2 linked regions of the Canis lupus familiaris genome follow. Each later gene encodes a partner of the first gene's protein in a complex. Links are inferred from orthologs where the notes say so. Each region holds a gene or a part of one and is shown on either strand. Other genes may lie near its edges. The genes, in order: RPS6KA3 and BMF.

Evidence for each region.
Region 2: the proteins of RPS6KA3 (region 1) and BMF are in contact, whole or in part, in a crystal structure (PDB 8R58), measured with the Homo sapiens proteins. The link is inferred for Canis lupus familiaris from reciprocal best matches to the Homo sapiens genes RPS6KA3 and BMF. Residues at the interface, in NP_004577.1 of Homo sapiens: Trp252, Phe259, Phe268, Leu281, Ala283, Lys284, Leu285, Gly286, Met287, Pro288, Leu299, Arg300, Phe303, Lys304, Arg305, Asn306, Asn309; in NP_001003940.1 of Homo sapiens: Glu8, Leu10, Glu11, Asp12, Asp13, Val14, Phe15, Gln16, Pro17.

Annotation. Positions count from the first base shown.
Region 1 is NC_049260.1:16,241,088-16,249,597, reverse strand, and holds the start of RPS6KA3 (ribosomal protein S6 kinase alpha-3), read left to right. Parts: upstream 1-3,727; 5' UTR 3,728-3,742; coding exon 3,743-3,811; intron 3,812-7,590; coding exon 7,591-7,632; intron 7,633-8,510. UniProt on the Homo sapiens protein: Serine/threonine-protein kinase that acts downstream of ERK (MAPK1/ERK2 and MAPK3/ERK1) signaling and mediates mitogenic and stress-induced activation of the transcription factors CREB1, ETV1/ER81 and NR4A1/NUR77, regulates translation through RPS6 and EIF4B phosphorylation, and mediates cellular proliferation, survival, and differentiation by modulating mTOR signaling and repressing pro-apoptotic function of BAD and DAPK1.
Region 2 is NC_049251.1:7,601,776-7,610,443, forward strand, and holds the start of BMF (bcl-2-modifying factor), read right to left. Parts: upstream 5,620-8,668; 5' UTR 5,518-5,619; intron 5,469-5,517; exon of another isoform or gene 5,342-5,468; intron 5,133-5,341; 5' UTR 5,005-5,132; intron 3,180-5,004; exon of another isoform or gene 3,039-3,179; intron 2,837-3,038; 5' UTR 2,832-2,836; coding exon 2,540-2,831; intron 1,065-2,539; coding exon 904-1,064; intron 1-903. UniProt on the Homo sapiens protein: May play a role in apoptosis. Isoform 1 seems to be the main initiator.

The sequences.
Region 1 (8,510 bases):
GGAACTCCATTTTTTGAACAAATGTTATTTTGTTAAGTAAATGCCCATTTAAACTTCTATACAAAGGTTGTAATTATAGCAGGAAGTTGTTGGGGACAGGGGAAGTTAAATTTGGTTGTCTTGTCATACATCAGGAATGATTTCTTGGAAGTCTAGTCCAGATTTTCGACTGAGGTTTGCTGTTTCCCTTTGCTGTAGTTTCAAGTAATAACTTTCCAATATTTTGGTTCTGAGTGGGAGATTTATGCAGGAGGTGGGGCATAGAATCAGACTTTTGTGCTGGTTTTGTACCAAGGAGCTCCAAAAGACAGTGGAATGTGAGGATATCACTTAACATTATATTATGACATAAAAGGCTCAATGTGAAACTTCTAAAGGAGTGCTGTCCTCTAGAACTATAGTGCTTATCTTGACAAGTAAGCCCCATATATAAAATGTATAGTAGCTATATGAAGACATAAAAAGAAACAGGTGAAAAAAAAAAAAAAAGAAACAGGTGAAATTAATTTCAATAAAATATTTTATTTAACTCAATATATTCAAAATACTATTTCAACATGTAGTCAATAGAAAAATTATTACCGAACTACTTTATATTCTTTTTTTTTGTACTGAGTTTGTGAAATCTGGTGTGAACTTTACACTTACAGCACATCTCATTTGTGACCAGCCAATCTTATTTTAATTATTTCAAGAGCCATGTGTGGCTAGTAGCTACCATATTAGCCTGCACAGGGTGATCTCTAGAGGCAGCTTCTTTGAATAACTAAGAGTTTTCCTTTCTTAAACGGGAAAGCAAAAAGTACTCCTGTTCAGGGTAATATCAACTTCTATGTTCAAATAACTCTTTTTACCACCACCTACAAGAAATATCCCCCAGGTTCATTTGATTTTCTCAAATTATCCCACCCAGAGAGAGTGGTTGCACAACTTTTGGATTTTAAAAGAAATAAATGAAAAAAAGGTTGTTAACAACAACAACAACAACAACAACAACAACAACAACAACAAAAATTCACATTTCTCTTTGGACAAAAGGAAAGAGAAGGGTGTTTTTCTAAATCAATTCACAAATACTTATCAAGTTGATCCTATGTGCAAGACGGCTGTGCTAGTGGTAGACAGCACATTATTAACAGTTCATTTCATTCTTAATTCCTGCAATATGAGTACCGGCCACAGTAACTTCGTTTTAGAAGTATTCTTCTAGTTTTCAAGGTAAAAAGAATAAAAGTTGATACCGAAATCAACTTTTCAGTATACAACTTGATTTATTACTGTGGAATAATTCGCACGGGTTAGTGTTAGACACATAATAACTGCCTCCTTAAATACAAGGTATGTTTTTACTCAAGCAAGAATCTCAGTTGTAATAACTGATCAGTTTGGTGGACCAATTTACCTTAAACTAACCAAATTGACCAACTTCTTTTCGCTATAAGGAATGGTAATATGGGTTTGCAATGTAAATGAAAGAAAGAAAAATTAGGCACTTCCTACATAAATATAAAGCAGCGCACAACTCCTTATTCTTAAACTTCTGCGAACTGGTTTTACCTTCCGGAATTACGGAGACTGTGCTGCCAAATTAGCTGAGTCTGGGTCCAGACTGGATTTGCAGCACTAGAATCAAGCATGTTGGGGGAGGTGACACAATCACGAGCTAAGTCCTCCCCACCCCCCGCCGCACAGACCACGCTGAGCCTGCCCAGATGTTGCTCAACCCTGAGCTGTCCCCCTGAGTCCAAGGCTGCGAGAGAGGGCGCACGGCGAGGACTTCCGGCCACCTCCTTGGGCCCCCTAAACAGATGGAGTCGCTTCTGGTGGCCACGAGGCTCCCGGGCCTCGAGCTTGTGCCAGAGGGCGTGCAGGCGAAGGCAGCAGAAAGATCCGAACACCTGCCTTCTTCGGGGCCAGTGAGAAACCTTGCACCGCCCGCGCAGACCTGGCCCGCCAGGAGTGGGGCTCTAATCTCAACCTCACACCTGCCTTAGGGAGGAAGACAAGGGCTCTCCAGGTGTCTGGGTCCCGGGATGATGAAAGCGAGCTGTTAAAAGGCGTGCACCGGAAGCGCAGCGGGGGACGCGAGGTGGCCGCGGGGCGTGGGAGGACCGGGACGCCTGGGCCCAGGCCTGAAGGGATGAAGGCACTGGCCTTCCCGGAGATTTCCCTTTACTTTTTTTCCTTCTCGTAGAGAGGGTTGGCCAGTGGCTGCAGTAGCTTTCCACTCAGCCCAGCGACTTTTACAGAATTTTGCCCAGGCGCACGGAGTCTGCTAGGCACCTGGCGTTGGGAACACGAGGTGGAACCGCACCCCCCACCCCCCCACCCCAGCGACACTCAGTCCCGACGCCCAGGCCTCTTCCCACAAACTCTCAGTCCTTTTGGATTCCGTTGCCGTCTGGGGATTGGTTTTCCTTAACCCAGGGCTTCCCTATCTTGGGCTGGAGGAGTTAGGACCTCCCTCGCTTTCTCTCCTCCACCCTGGGCCAGCCTGATTTTTTAATCTAATCTTTTATTTAGAGTCAACAGTGGAGCAAGAACCCCAGGCTCCTGCCAACAAGATATTTTAAAATAATTCCCCAACCTCTGCTGAGTGGGGCAGCCTCAAGGAACCTCCTTGTTTTTTTTCCTCGTACAGATTTAGGTACCAGGGAGCGGGGACTTTGAGAGTCGAGGTTCATGCCCGAGGGCTCTGCAGACTTTGGGTGGGGGGCGACTCAAGCAAGACAAATGAATTCCAAATATTAAAGATATAACACAACTGCCTCGATTTGGAGAGCCTTGAATCAAATCGAGAGACGAACCTCCAGGGGGCTCCAGGGCACAAAGCTTACGTGTCCCCATCCTGGGGGACGTTACGGAGGAGGGGGCGGCAGGTGAGTGCCCAGCGTGTGAGCCTGGATAGGGCGGATCCTGGCCCATTAAAGGATGTGCCCATAGACACTATGCTCCCCACAAACACCCACTGAGGAGTCAGACCGAAAAGACACCCACTCACTCCCCGGGTCCTTGACACCCGACTGCGCCCACTGTGCCTCGCCCACCTCCCTCCCCAGCTAGGCGGAGACCACTGTTCTCTACATCCTTAAGTAGCCTCCGACCTGCTCGGACCCTTAGCCTAGGGCTCCCAGCCTTTAGCTTTCATTGCCCTTCCCCTTTTCTTTCCCCTGCCGCCCGCCGACGCCCCCAGATCTCTCCGGCTCGCCCTTCCTGAAAGTAGGCGAGGCCCAGAAGCTGAGGTTGGGGCGAGGAAGGAGGGAGGAGCGAAGCGCGGCGGCCGGGGGCGTGTCTTCCCAAGCCCCGCCCCCGGGTGCGCGCGGCGGTGGCGGCGGCGGCCGAGCCTCGCTCTGAGAGACAGGTATCGCTTAGGCGCCATGTTGTGAGCGGAAGTGGGGGAGCGCGCGGCCGCCGCTGTTCTGCTGGGAGCGGGCGCGGGAACCGGCGGGGGGGGCGGAGCTGTAGTCCCGGCGGCGGAAGGAGGAGAGGAAGAAAGGGGCGAGACCCGGTGCCCGGCAGCGGCGCGAGGCTCTCGCTCGGCGCGCGGACATCTCCAGCCAGGCGCGCGGCGTTCGAGGGTCGGTGTCGGCGCCGAGCCCTCTCCCGGGCAGCCGGCGCTGGTGCTGCTGCTGCTGCCGCCGCCGCTGCTGCTGTCGTGGGGCTCGGGCGGCGACAGAGCGGGGCCGGCCGCGGGGCGGGCGGGGAGGGAGGAGGCGGTGAAGGCGGCGGGCCGGGGGGGAAGATGCCGCTGGCGCAGCTGGCGGACCCGTGGCAGAAGATGGCTGTGGAGAGCCCGTCCGACAGCGCTGAGGTGAGTGCCGCCGGGCGGCCGGGGGCTGGCGCGCCCCTCCCCTCGCCCCCGCCGGCCAGCTCCCCTCCCTGGAGCTGGCCACTTGGCCCCTTCCTCTGCTGCTCGCGTCTCCCCTCGGTCTGGGATTCCGGTTTGGGTAGTTGGGGTTGGTCTATTTGCCCTTCTCTTCCACCCGCACCCTCACCTCCCCTCCCTCGCTCGGGGGGCTGTGGTGTGGTGGCGCGTAGGGTTTGGAGTGGGCGCTGGGGCTTTGCAAGAAGCTGATTTTAATCAACTTTGCGTGGGGGGACCGGGAAGCGGAGCGGGGGCCGAAGAGGAGTTGGGAAGTTTGGCCCTGCCTGCTTGGGGGCTTCCCTGGACCCTGGCGACTTTGGAGTGTAAGGGAGGGGTATGGATTGGGTTCGCTGGGAAGCAGGGACTCCCGAGTCCGGCCAGGGGAGGGAGTTGGTGCTGTGAGTCGGGCGCGCAGGGGCCAGAACGGCCCAAGGCAGGACTGGCGACCTGTGGGGGCTTCGGGTAAGGGGTACAGGACAGCCAAGGGTTTTTGCCTTCCCCCCAGTCTGTCTGCCGCAGCGGTTTCTGCTGGTGCAAAGGAGAAAGTGGAAGCCTGAGATCCACCCCCCTCCCCCATTTCTGAGGTCGCTGAGCTCGAGGACCCCAGTCCCTAGGAGCTTTAACTTGAGTTTCCTGTCCATGGAGGTGAGAGGGTGATGTTCAAGGCGATCATTAGCCGCCCTAAAGGGCTTTCAGGTTTTCTTCGCCCGGGATCTATTCGATGACGGTCCCTGAGACACCTAACCGAGTGCCAAAAACCCAAAACAATATACCCAAACACGGCAAAACAATTTCCCCGGACACAGCCTAGCATCGAGCTTTCGCAGCCGTCCCTGTCCCAGAACCAACTCGGGGTCTGCGAAAATAATCCAGACAAGACCCATTCCAGGGCATCAGCGCTCCTCTCCGAAGTGGAAAATCAATTCCTGATGGTGGCACGTCTGTGATTCTCCCTTCTTGACTTTTTGCTATCTTCTATCCCCGCAGCGGACTTTGGGGGATTACAGGATGATAGCCTGCGTGTGTGTAATAGTTAGTGAGTGACCCCATTTCTGGAAAGCATGACTGAAACGCGGGGGTGGAATGGGGCAGGCTCTGATGAGTGGTGTACTTGGCGGCAGCCGCTGCCCTGCCGGCCTCCGCAGTGTGAGAGGTGGATAGGGTTACTGGTTACGTCAGTAAGACCGAGGCTCAGTTTGATCTGAGATGCGGGACACTTGCATTCTCGGGTATAATGGAGGGGGAGGGGAGTCAGTTCAAATTGCTTTTCAATTTTTTCCTAGTCACCTCCACCCACTGCTGTATAAAATGTTTACTTGCTCTCCTTAACGTGAGCAGAGTTGTAATAGTGCTTACGGCTGGTACTTAGTATTTTGTGACTTGGATCATATTTTTAAAATCTAAGCTAAACGCTGCTCTTCAATGGAAAAGATATTGATAGATGTTTTCTAAATATTTTTAAAAAGGAAATCACGTTTTTAAGACTAGCAGGATTACATTTAAATTTTTGTTAGCCTGTTTAATACTATCGATGTATTATAAGGAAATTGAATTTAAAATGTTTTATCATCCTTTGAATGGATAGTATGGAAATTAGTATGCAAACAGACTCTTTTCATTCATTTTTTCCTTCAGATTTATTTGCATTGAGTAATATAGCTAAAAGCTTTATAAAATATGTTCTCAAAGTGCTGACCTTGTGAAAAGAAATTGAATTGCTTTGAGCCTGATTGTTACATGCAAACGGTAACATTTGCAACTCATAATCAGTCCACATTTCTGCTTGGCACGTATCAATGTGTTAAAAAATCATTTAAAATTCCACCTTATCTTTTTTCTACATAGCATACATTTGGATAAGGAAGGCACAAAACTGATATTTATTTAGCACTTACTATATGCCAGATACTGTGGTACATGCTATTTCATTTTATCCTTCCTATGACCCAACAGAGTAGGGTTGTGATCCTCATTATTACAGATTAAGAAACGGAATATCTGAAGTTAAGGGCACAAAGATTATAAATAGTAAACGACAGAGCCATAACTCAAAGCCGAGTGGGTATAATTCATGTGCTTTGCTTTATATTAAGGTAGCTGCTTCAGATCCTTTGTGGAAAAATTCAGGGTATAAATAAATAAGCCAGTAGTTGGAGGTCATGTATTTTTCAGAAACAGTTACGGTATTATAAGCGATCGCACTTGTTAAAGCCTAGTTATTTCAGTTACTGTCATGGTTTCCAGAACCTGGCAGATAGGATTCCACAACTTGCCATTTTCAAAGAATTTTCTTGATATTCTGGCATAAGATATGTCACAGGGAGCTGGAGTTGCCTAGATTAATTTTTTAAAGATTTTTTAATGGCCTTTAGATATTTTGTTGCCTTTGGTGGTTCATCTGTTTCAAGTAAATTACTTCTGATACAATTTTGGAAATTGAAGCCAGCAAGGAAAAGGTTGAGAATTTTCATTCAGAAGTCTAATATTGAACTTAATATTATGTCTGCTATTATGCCATCTCCTCCCCCAGTAAGTTCTTAATAGAAAGTAATTATATTTTACCAGAATAAAGTCATTTTTTGAAAGATATTTACTTGAGTAAATTCATCGAAATTTTTTCTTTCTGGGCTAAAAGGTGTCAGGGTTGGTCTCTATAGAGATTTACATTTGTGGTCTGATTCCTAGTAGATTGTAAAATCTTGAAAGGAGAGCCTTTTTTTCCTTTGTATTCTCAGCACTTAACACAGTGCCTGGCACATGTATATTATGAATCCAATAGACATCCACTGAGTGAATTATGATGGTCAGGAATAGGGTGATTATCAATGTTACTTCTGTTCTAATCATTTTAATCTTACATTGAAATATGAGCAATCTTAAAAACCTGAGTACCTCACCGAAAATACAAGGCAGTTTCTTCATTCCTTTACATAGCCTTCCTGCTTTTAAGACCTCACATGGGTCTCATGGTGCTCAAAACAAAAAAACCCTTGTGGTTAACTCAAACATGGGTCATAACATGATAGGCTAGAACTAGGCCAAATGTTTAAAGAAGCAAATTTAGGATAATAAAGGAAGTACTATGTAAGCAGTCAAGGTTAGTACAAGATTAAAAACAAAATAGTGTCCTAAATAGTCTAGGTGAATTCACAACTCTTTAGTGAGTTATTTAAAGATGCTAGTATGTTTTTGAGTGTCTGACGGTTTAGGAGACAGATATCAAGGAATTGTGACTATTCTGTAAATTCCTTGCCACTGCTGTCAGAGATAACATTTACTAGATCATAAGCCTGACCTAAAGTGACACTTTTTCTAAGTTTTCAATAAAGGATAAATGATAGTAAATGTAAATAAGAACAATTTTAATTAATTTAGCCTTAATATACTTAAGGTTATTTTTGCTTTATAGAAATGTGCTGTATAAAAATAGCCACCTTGAATTGTTTTAAATAGCAAGTACCCATAATGCATTAAAATATTAATTATATAAATATTTTCTTTATAAAAAATGAGACCCTTGTGTTGGAAACCATCTTCAGTGAATGTGCATCCATTTTTATCTTCAAAGATTGTATTGGATTCTGGAGTATTTCTACTATATTGATATTAGGTTTCTTATTTTTATCTGTAGGGAAATACATTCTATTGAAGTATGATCATTGATTTTGAAAAATGTTTTATTAAGTTTCTTTTCCTTTTCCTGTTTCATTTCTATCACCTTTCAGGTTTTTTTCTTTCCCCCAAGTGAAGATCTGAGGAGAGGACAGGTATTGTTACATGTCAACTGTCAATAGTAACTGTGACACATTACTGAGCACTTCATTGTTTTCAGTGATTATGATATTATAAGATGTCAGTTTTTGTTCAACTAAAATTTAGGAAAGTTTGCTTTTTTTGCAGCTCTTCCTATACTAATTGGATTGATCCAAAATGTGAAACTTCTTTGGTACATTTAAATTTTAAGATAAAGAGATAAACCTAAAGAAACAAGTATAGGCAGACTTTGCCTTTTCTTTAGTATGTTTCTGGAAATTAAAATGAGTATATCCTATTTTTATTTAAGGAGACTGGCATAATTGGGATGTGCACTCTTGACCAAGGACATGATAATTGGTAAATTATAGATAAAAAAATATAGTAGATCATTTATCGAAAGTCTGAATTGCAGAATTGTAAAGATTTTTTTAAAAATTTATCACACACTAAAAAATTCATATCATTGTGATCATTGACAAGATTTGCTCTAGAGTTCCATACTCAGGGACATGTGATATAGCAGGCTGTGAATGTTGGGTGATGTCAAGGGCGCCAGTTTCCCAGTGCAGACTGGATGCTTTAGACCCAGTGATCCAGATTACAGTGTACAACAGTGACATTTTGGTGGTCCCTTGGTAATGCATGAGTGTTATAGAGCTCAGTTGTTTATGTGTTTTGATGGATAACAAGTTTTAAAGCATTGGAATGCAATTGTGCAAATCTATATTATACATGCAATTCCCCAATTCACATAATAGAAAATAAAAACAACCAACTGCAGTTTTATATTTGGCATTAAATGTCTTCTTCTACCCCACTTCAGATTTGCTAGTTTCCTGTGTCACTAATCTGGAACAATTAGCAGATCTCACATATTCCAGCTTATCAA
Region 2 (8,668 bases), on another chromosome or scaffold:
CCCTGGCGGCTGTACCAGCCCCATTCAGCCCTGGGCTCCCTCCCGCCCGTCCCGCCCCGTCCGCCCCGGGCAGCCGTCCAGAGGGCCAGCCTGGGAGGAAGGGTTAAGTGCCTGGGGGCCGGCCCAGACCGAGGCCGGGCCGGGCGCCTCCAGCCCGCGGCACGGAGGGCTCCTGCAGCACGAGCCCGCCAGCCGCCGCCTTTGTTGACGGACTCGGCCACATGCTCGGCTGACACGCGATGCTCCGCCCCGGCGGGGCTGGTGCCAGGCTGCCGGCCAAGCGCGGGCCGCCCGTCTGGAGAGACTCTCCGAGGTCCGCTCTCCAGAGTCCCGGGTCCCGGTTCCCAGACAGAGACAATGAGGAGCAGCCTCCCCAGCTGGAAAGTGTCAGGTTACAACCGGTTCCACCACTTTCCCCCACTCAGGCCCATCCCTCGGCGGCCTCGGTTACCCGGCTCCCACGGCACCTCAGCCCGGCGCCCCCCACCCCCCAACTGGCCGGTTTCAAAGCGGCTCCCTGGGAATCTTCCCCTGAGGTCCACGAGGGGCGATCTCCCCACCTGGCCTCGGGCAGACGCGGTGTGGCAGATGAGGCTGCGGAAGCCACCCATTCCCCAGGAGAGATCGGGGCTTTCCTGCCCCAGGTGGGACGAACCGCTCTTAGAAGCCTGAGCCCAGAGGCGGCAGGTAACCCACTTGGAGCTCTGAGAGGGCAGGAGTGCTCGGACAGTTGGGCCCACCCAGTTCACCGGAACCACAGCAGCCCAGGCCAAGACCCCGGGACCATGCCCTTGGGGTCCCGGCAGACACGGAGTGGCTGAGGCAGGTCCTGGTCCACCCCCACCCCCCAGCCCCAGAAGACTCTCCTCCCGCCCCAGCCCAGCTCCCAGCTCCCATGCCTACTTGCTGCATGTGAAGCCGATGGAACTGGTCTGCAATGCACTGAAGCTTTCGGGCAATCTGTACCTCTGCTCGATGTTGCCACTGCCCTTCCGGGGGCTGCTCGAGGAGAGGCAAGCCTGCAGGGAAACTGGCAGGGAGAGGGAGCCGGTAGCCAGCGTTGCCTGCGAAGACAGAGGGCCCACATCTCAGCGTTCTCCACAACTCCACTATCCACCCCGAGGTGCCTGACGCTCCCTGCTGAGACCTGGGGCCGAGGCCTTCATCGGGGCACTCTGCCAGGTTTGGACAGACAGATCTGCTGGCTGCCCAGGCGTCTAAAAGCTGCCGTTCAGAGAACGGGAGGGAATGGTCCCAGCCTTCCCTGTAGTTCTCCATTCACAGGCAGTGCCAGGGTACAAGTAGTATGTGTGGGTGAACCTGCCAGCCTTCTGTCTTTATTTACCAAGCTATGCTTGACCACAATTTATTTTTCATGCAGTAGCAGGTTGAAGCTCTTCTCTGGAAAAGCACCGGAGGCAGCTCTCCAGAGTTCCTGGGTTGAGCAAAGCAAGGCAGAGAAAGAGAAAACCAAAATGTGCCTTCACTTTTTCGTCTGGCTGGGCCCAGGTCCCACAGCTCGGGACAATGGTACTAAAACTAGGGAGAGCAAACTCTTCAGACCCACTGGATAGCCAAGTTCCTCTCTGGAGGAGCCCCAGGCCAGACCGCAAGAGCTAGAGACCAGCGCTGCACCCTACCCCAGTGCTGGCAGTCGAGCTGCCGCTAGGGGTGCCTGCCTGCCTGCCTTCTTCCTCTGTTCCTTCTTCCCTGCCGGCCTTATCCATCTCCTCAAACTCCAAAAAGAACTGCAGGGCAGCTCCCTCTGGGAATAACTGCAGCGTCTTCTCAATATGCTCCATCAGACATAGCAAGTTCGCCTCCAAGCCCTTCCCCTCCCTCCATAAGCTATTGTGCTAAAAGAAGAAAGCAGACTAAGTGTCTAACCCTGTCCCTTTGCCAGAGGAGGGCATGTTACTCATAAAGCAAACCATTTAAGCCCACAAATGAAGGGGTCTTGTCTGATTGAGCCTTGGAAACAGCCCCTCTACTGGCATCGAGCCCCGGCAGGCCCAACCTCTTTCTCTAGTTCCCCTTCCAAGCACAGAAAGTCCCAAGTGACACCTTCTGCCTTCAGGAATCTTCCCCTCCCAGAAAGGGCCGGGTTTTTCCCTTCAGTGTCAACAGCGATTCACACAGATCTCCCAACCTTCACTGGGGCCACATTGGCCAATTTACAAAAGGCATATCACTCCCAGGACACAAAAGGCTGGGCCGCTCAACGGGCCACAGGATGTAAAACTCAAGGCCCAGGTACCACTCTCCTATCCCAAAAGGTACCACAGACCCAAGGATCCCTGCAGAAACGGACAAAAAGGCAGAAATGATGGCAGGCATAGCAATTTGCCCTTCTCAGTGCCTAAGGAGCACAGGTGAAGAGCAATGACAAGCAGAGAAGCAGAATGACAAGAATCGAGGAATCAATAGCCCCTGCTGTTCAATTTGGGGAAGGAAATAACAAAGTGCACGTTTGGGGAGGGGAAGTCCCCTCTTTTCCCCCAGTCTCTATGGGAGGAGTCCTGAGGCTAAGAGCACTCACCATAAAAGAGTCGCTGGGGCTCTTCGGTCACCCCACAAGGCAGCATGACACCCTGACTTGGGGAGGCCGGACTGAGGGTCTGGGTGGCCTTGTCTTCCTGGCTGGTGGGTCGAAGCCCAGGGCCACAGCAGTGGGTGAGAGGGAAGAGATGCAGACGGCTGAGGGGGCAGTCCAGCTGGCTCTGGGCAAACAGGTCAGCAGAGAGCAAGCTCCCAGGCTGGGTCCCCGGCTCCCCATCCTCTGGCTGGAACACATCATCCTCCAGCTCCTCCACACACTGAGGCGGCTCCATCTCCCCTGTTAGAGCACAATGCAGGCCTCTGGGATGCTGCTTCTACCCAGGCCAAAGCTGAGGGATTCCCCTCCCCTTTTTTCTTTCCTGCTTCCCCTTCTTATTTGGGTGAGTAGGGCCAGGTACTGATGACAGACAACTGGTGATAAAGTACTACCAAGGATGACACCCGCCCCAAAGGCTGAGGACAGCCTCACTGCTCCATACCTCTTCCCTGGGCCTTCTGGGAGCCACCCCCCACCTTGGTCTTTTCTCCTGACCCAGGCTGGTTCCGGTCATGAAGTCTGACTGCTATTGACTCTGAGCACTAGCAGGGGTATGATCAACGGCTACAAGCATGCAGGACACCTGGGGAAATGTCAACAAGACCAGACCCTGTGAGTGGCTATGGGAGGGCAGAGGGTGCTGGGACTGGCTGTACACACAGTGCTCGCTCGCTCTCTCTCTCTCTCACACACACACACTCACTCACTCACTGCCCTGAGGAGTAACCACCAAGCTCTCATTTCAGTCTGAACTGAGCTCCAGGCTCAGCAGCAAAAACAAAAGCCAGCAACTCTAGGGCAGCCAGGTTCCCTCCAAACCTGTTAAGCCCCGCCCAGCTGCCGATCTACCCTAGTCTCCACCCCCTGCTTGCTCAACACAACAAACAGGCTCCACGGTGTGGTAAGAGTGGGTCCTGGGAGAGAGGGCAGAAAGACCCAAGTGAGTCATTGGCCTCCCAACAGAGCAGAGCCATCTGCCCACCACAGCTTGGCCTAGAGGGTAGGTCCAACATCCAGCAATGTGGCCAGCCTCCCCCAGCTCAGCCTACTCACTCGTCTCCATGACTTTAATCTTCTTTGCCCACAGTCTACCTACCATTCCTGTCGGCACCGAACCTGAGATTGGTCTAACCCTCCTTACAGAAGGAAGTGAAATTCAGCCCTCTTTTTGTGACCTCACTCACTGTCTCTGTACTACTCAGGTTGTTGATAGGAGTTTCTTGGTAATAAAGAAGTTCCTCTTGCTCCACCTGATGGTTCTTGGAAATCTGAGCTTGGAGCCACCCAGCATCTTGAGCTCCCAACTCAGCCCCCTACATACACACACATACACCAGGAACTTGTTAGGGTCCCTGGGGCAGCCAGAAGCAACAACTACCTGAATGGTTTGGGATTCAGAGGGATACTGTTTGTCACTGCCAGATTCAATTAGAGATCCCCTGGGAATTTTGTCTCCCAGTCTCTTTCTTGCCTTTGAAGAACAAGCCAAATGGTCTGTAGGCTGGTAAGATACTTAAAGGAATCTCACTTAAATTCAGAAACTTGGCTTTCCAAAATGCAAGCTCTCTCCGAGGCGCTTGCTTCAACCTTCCCTCCATCCCAACCAGTCCATGAGCTACTATGACCCTATCTTTGCCCTCTTCCCTGGTGAGTGAGGAGATGCCAGCTTGGATGGCAAAACAGGCACATGGTGTTCTTTAGAAAGTGTTTCCCAAAGGAGGGTAGGAGATCTTCAGCTTATCAGCAACAGGAAACAAAGTTTCTTGCTGAAAGGACCAAGTACTGTCTTGCCAGTCACCTGGCAGGGGCTCTTCTCCAGCCTTTCAGCCTTCTCTCTGCAGACTGGCAATCCCAGGCTAAGAGGGGGCCCTCCAAAGCTAATCACAAGCAGGAGTCATTGTCTTGGGTTTTCCTTTGAAGCCAGTCACCTCCCCCTCCCCCACCCAGCAAGGCCCCAAAGTTCAACCCTTGCCTGGACTGGACTGTCGGGGAAATGCAGCCATAGGGTGTGTCTCTGCAAGCCCTGGGGACCCTACCCATTCTCCACAAGAACTGCAGGTGGCTCCTCTGTACGTGGGAGCCTCCCGAGGGGTGCTGGGCAAAGTCAAGTGTAAACTGGGATATGGTAAAGAGACCCTCTGCTCTCTTCGCCTGAGCTGAGGAGGTGATGTCCAAACTGGTAGGAGGAGCACACTTCTTGAGAGCACTGCCTGGGAAGGTTTTATTCCTAGCAAAGGGGAACCAAAGCCCGCTTTGGAACCATCTCAGCCCCGAAGGGCTGTAAGAGGGATGCTGAACTTAAGACTCCTCCTCCTAGGAGAATAGCCAGGCACTCGGAGGTTCCGTAGGAGTTAAAATCTGGGAACGCACACATACATGCGTACACACCCACACGACACACAGCAGACCTGGGTGACTCCAGGAGAGAGTCTCGGCCTCCGAGTCGTGATGCCAGGGCTCCGCGCCAGGGTCCAGCGTGACGAGCACTCGGGGGCTTGGCGCCCAGAGTCAATTGGGAAGGAGGGAAAGAGCCCAGCTGTTAAGGAGAGGAGCCTTCAGACTCCGCAGGGAGGCTGGACGCCCCCCCACCCCCTGTCCTACCCCCGAGTCAGATCCAGAGGCCGGGCCGTTCTCGGGAGCCCAGGGCTGCTCAGCAGTGAACCGCAGCTTCCCCTGCCCACCTGGACCCAACTCCCTGCTGTCTGAAATGCTACTGCCCCCAAGTTCCCTCGCGGAGCAGCGCACCTAGATAAGGGTCCTGCACCGCGTTCCCGCACCCCGGCGCTCCAGTCCTCCATGGTCCCCCCACACGCCCGCAGCCCAACCCTTCTCGGGCCCCCATGCGCAGCTCGACTCCTCGCCCCACTTCCCGCCGAGGTGCGATCCAACTCCGCCCGGCCCCCGGCCGCCCGCGCGCTCACCGGGCTGCGGCGGGTGGCGGGCGGCGCGGGCAAGGGCGGCGGCGGCAGCTGGCGGGCCGGCGCGGGAGGAGGCCGCCGTGCACCGCGCGGTATTGTTTCCAAAATACGCCCGCTCGGGGCATCCCGCAAACAGCTGATGAGGCCCCGCCTCCGGCGCGTCACGCCCCCGGCGGCCAATGGCGAGCGGAGCCCCGAGTCCCGGGCTGGGCGGCTGCCAGGGACCGTCACGAATGTACCAACCTTCCCTTGGAAACACTGCAAGGGGCCGAGCGAAATTCCGGCTCCCGTCAGAAACGCAATCGGAGAGCCGTAGTCGGCGCAGATTCCGATCCCGAGCGCAAGCCCGGGAAGGACCGGAAAGGCCCTGGTCCTCTCCATTAGAAGGGAGAGAGGGGGCGCCAAAATGACTTTTGTCTTCTCTTTCTCGGGAATGGTCTGAATAATGACGGAGCGTCCAGAAAGGGAGAAGAGGAGGACGCAGCGGGCGGCGTCCGTCGAGGGCAAGGTGCGTGTCCTCGTGGACCCCGGCCTGGTGGCAAAGCGCCCTCCCGCCTGCCTAGCCCGGCGGAAAGAAACTCCAGGCGCGAATCTTCGGGAAGCATGCGGACACCTGCGTCTGGCACTGTTACTACTGAGTGACATTCAGATCTAACACATCCAGAGGGACCCTCAGGTCCTCTTCTTGAGGGGGCGTGGACACCTACAAAATAAGTATGTAGCCGAGGAGAGGGGAGATCGAGAATGCAGGGGCTGCTTGAGCAGTTGACACACATCCTGTTTATGGCAGCATCCAGAGATGGGGTTTGTGCTGCCAAGAAGATTATGTGTCCTGTGGATCTCCTGCTATCCATAAGGAAGTCCCCAGGCCACTTCACAAACATTCATTGAATACCTGCATTGTGCCAAATACTGGATTAGGAGCCAAAACCCTGTGCCTGTCCTCAGGGAGCTTACAGTTTATTCAGGAGAGGAAGATTCGAAAATTATGGAATGTGACATGAAATGTGTTAATTTTTAGGGACAAGGACTGCTGGAAGCTGCAGAAAAATTCAGGACACAAAACACTGGGGAAAGCTTCAGGAAGATGGCTTTTGAGTTGCGCCTTGAAGAATGGGGAGATTTTTCGATAAGGAAAACCAGGTAAAGTACCCTAAGCCCACGGCAGCAGAATAAAATGCTGAACTGGAGAATCTGTCCTGGGAGCAGAGAAGGCTGAAGGAGGGGTCATTGGTTGCATCCCAGGATTTGGGAAAGGGTGGTCATGGACAGATAGATTCAGGTCAGAGTACATAGGTGTCCATGCAATGCTAGGCTGGAGAATCTGTACTGGAGGCAAAAGGGAGCCACCAAAGATTTTTTTATAGAAGATGAGTGACTTGGGGGCACCTGTGTGGCTCAGTGGTTGAGCATCTGCCTTCAGCTCAGGTAATCATCCCAGGATCTTGGGATCCAGTCTCCCATCAGGCTCCTCGCAGGGAGCCTGCTTCTCCCTCTGCCTATGTCTCTGCCTCTCTCTATGTGTCTCTCATCAATACATAAATAAAATCTTAAAAAAAAAAAAAAAAAAGAAGGAAAAGGAACACCTGGGTGGTTCAGTGGTTGAGTGTCTGCCTTTGGCTCAGGTCACGATCCCAGGCTCTTGGGTTCGAGTCCTGCATGGAGTTCCCCGCAGGGAGACTGCTTCTCCCTCTGCCTATATCTCTGCCTCTGTGTGTCTCTCATGAATAAATAAAATCCTTAAAAAAAGAAAAAGAGAAGAAGAAGAAGAAGAAGAAGAAGAAGAAGAAGAAGAAGAAGAAGAAGAAGAAGAGGAAGGGGAGGAGGAAGGAGAGTAACTTAACTAAGGCTGCATTTTAAGAAAGATAAAAGAAGCCAAAATCAGTGAGAGAGAGCCAGTCACTGCAATAGACTGGGTGGTCGATGATGGGCCTGACCCCAGGGATAGTCGGGATGGACAGTCCTCTGACCACCAAGTTGCTCTCTCTGGTTGTAAACTCAGGCAGATTTAAGTTTAGTGGAGCTGGAATGCTTAGCCCAGAGGAGCCTGAAGTCTCCTTGTACCTTTTTCCTACCCATTCTTCCCTGAGCTCCCTCAAAGCATACCTGAAAGAGAGCCAACCAGGCATATTGAGGGCTGTGGTTGCTAGAGCAGGAAAACACTATCTCCAAAGTCCAGAGAAAAGAGAAAAGGGAAAAAAGATGAGGGTCAAAGTTGGCCAGCAGCCCCATCCTCCAGGAGTTGACGGATGTTCAGAAAGAGGTGCTGGAGCCAAAAGGAGGTATGTTACTTTACCAGGAGGCTTGGCTAAGAGGGAGTGTCACCTGGTCAGGGTGACCTAGCATTCATGCCACATGTGGGTAAATTAGGAAACCAAGCCCAGCTTCCATGCAGGGCACTGGGGAGCCCTTGCCACATTCACCACGCACAGACCTCTTTCCCCTCCTTCCTTCTATCCTTCTCTTCTTAATGGCTTTCCACCTGGGCCAATGTCTCAAGCTGGCCAGTAATGACCATGTGTATTACTTAGGATCAGGAATGGAACTGAAGGACTCAGCAGCTCTGAACCTGTCTTCTCAGGCATCATAGGCCCTGAGAGGGAGAGGTCATACTAATTCCCCTTATCTCTTCACCTACTCCACTCCCCAACCCTTGCTCCAAGCTGCTACTGCTCTGTCTGCTTCATCACAGCAGATTTGGGGCCACAAGGCAAGGAAGATGGTAGAGCAGGATTTTTATCTGGGATCCATGTACTTGCCAGACTCACCAGGGTGTCCTTAGCTGTAGGGTCTATGAACCCCTGAAATTGGCTAAATTGTATATGTGGGCTCACACAAACATTTTGAGGGGTGGTTCCATAGCTTACAACAGTTTCCCAAAAGGGCCTATGGCCCTATAAGAAGTTAAAAATAACCAATGTAGGGGAGTAGGGCTGAGAGCAAAAGGGATCACCTAAGTGGATCTGGGTAGTTTGCAAGATGGGAGGAGGGTCACACCATCTAGTGTCATCTCTTCTAAGACCTCTCTCCCAGGCCTTCCCAGCCCCTCTCTCAGACTGGTTCTGAAGGACACCCAGTGGCTTGGCCTCCTGTGCTCTCAGCCCCTAAGGTCAAGCAGCAGGGGCCCAGCCTTCTGAGCTGCAGAGACCAGAAA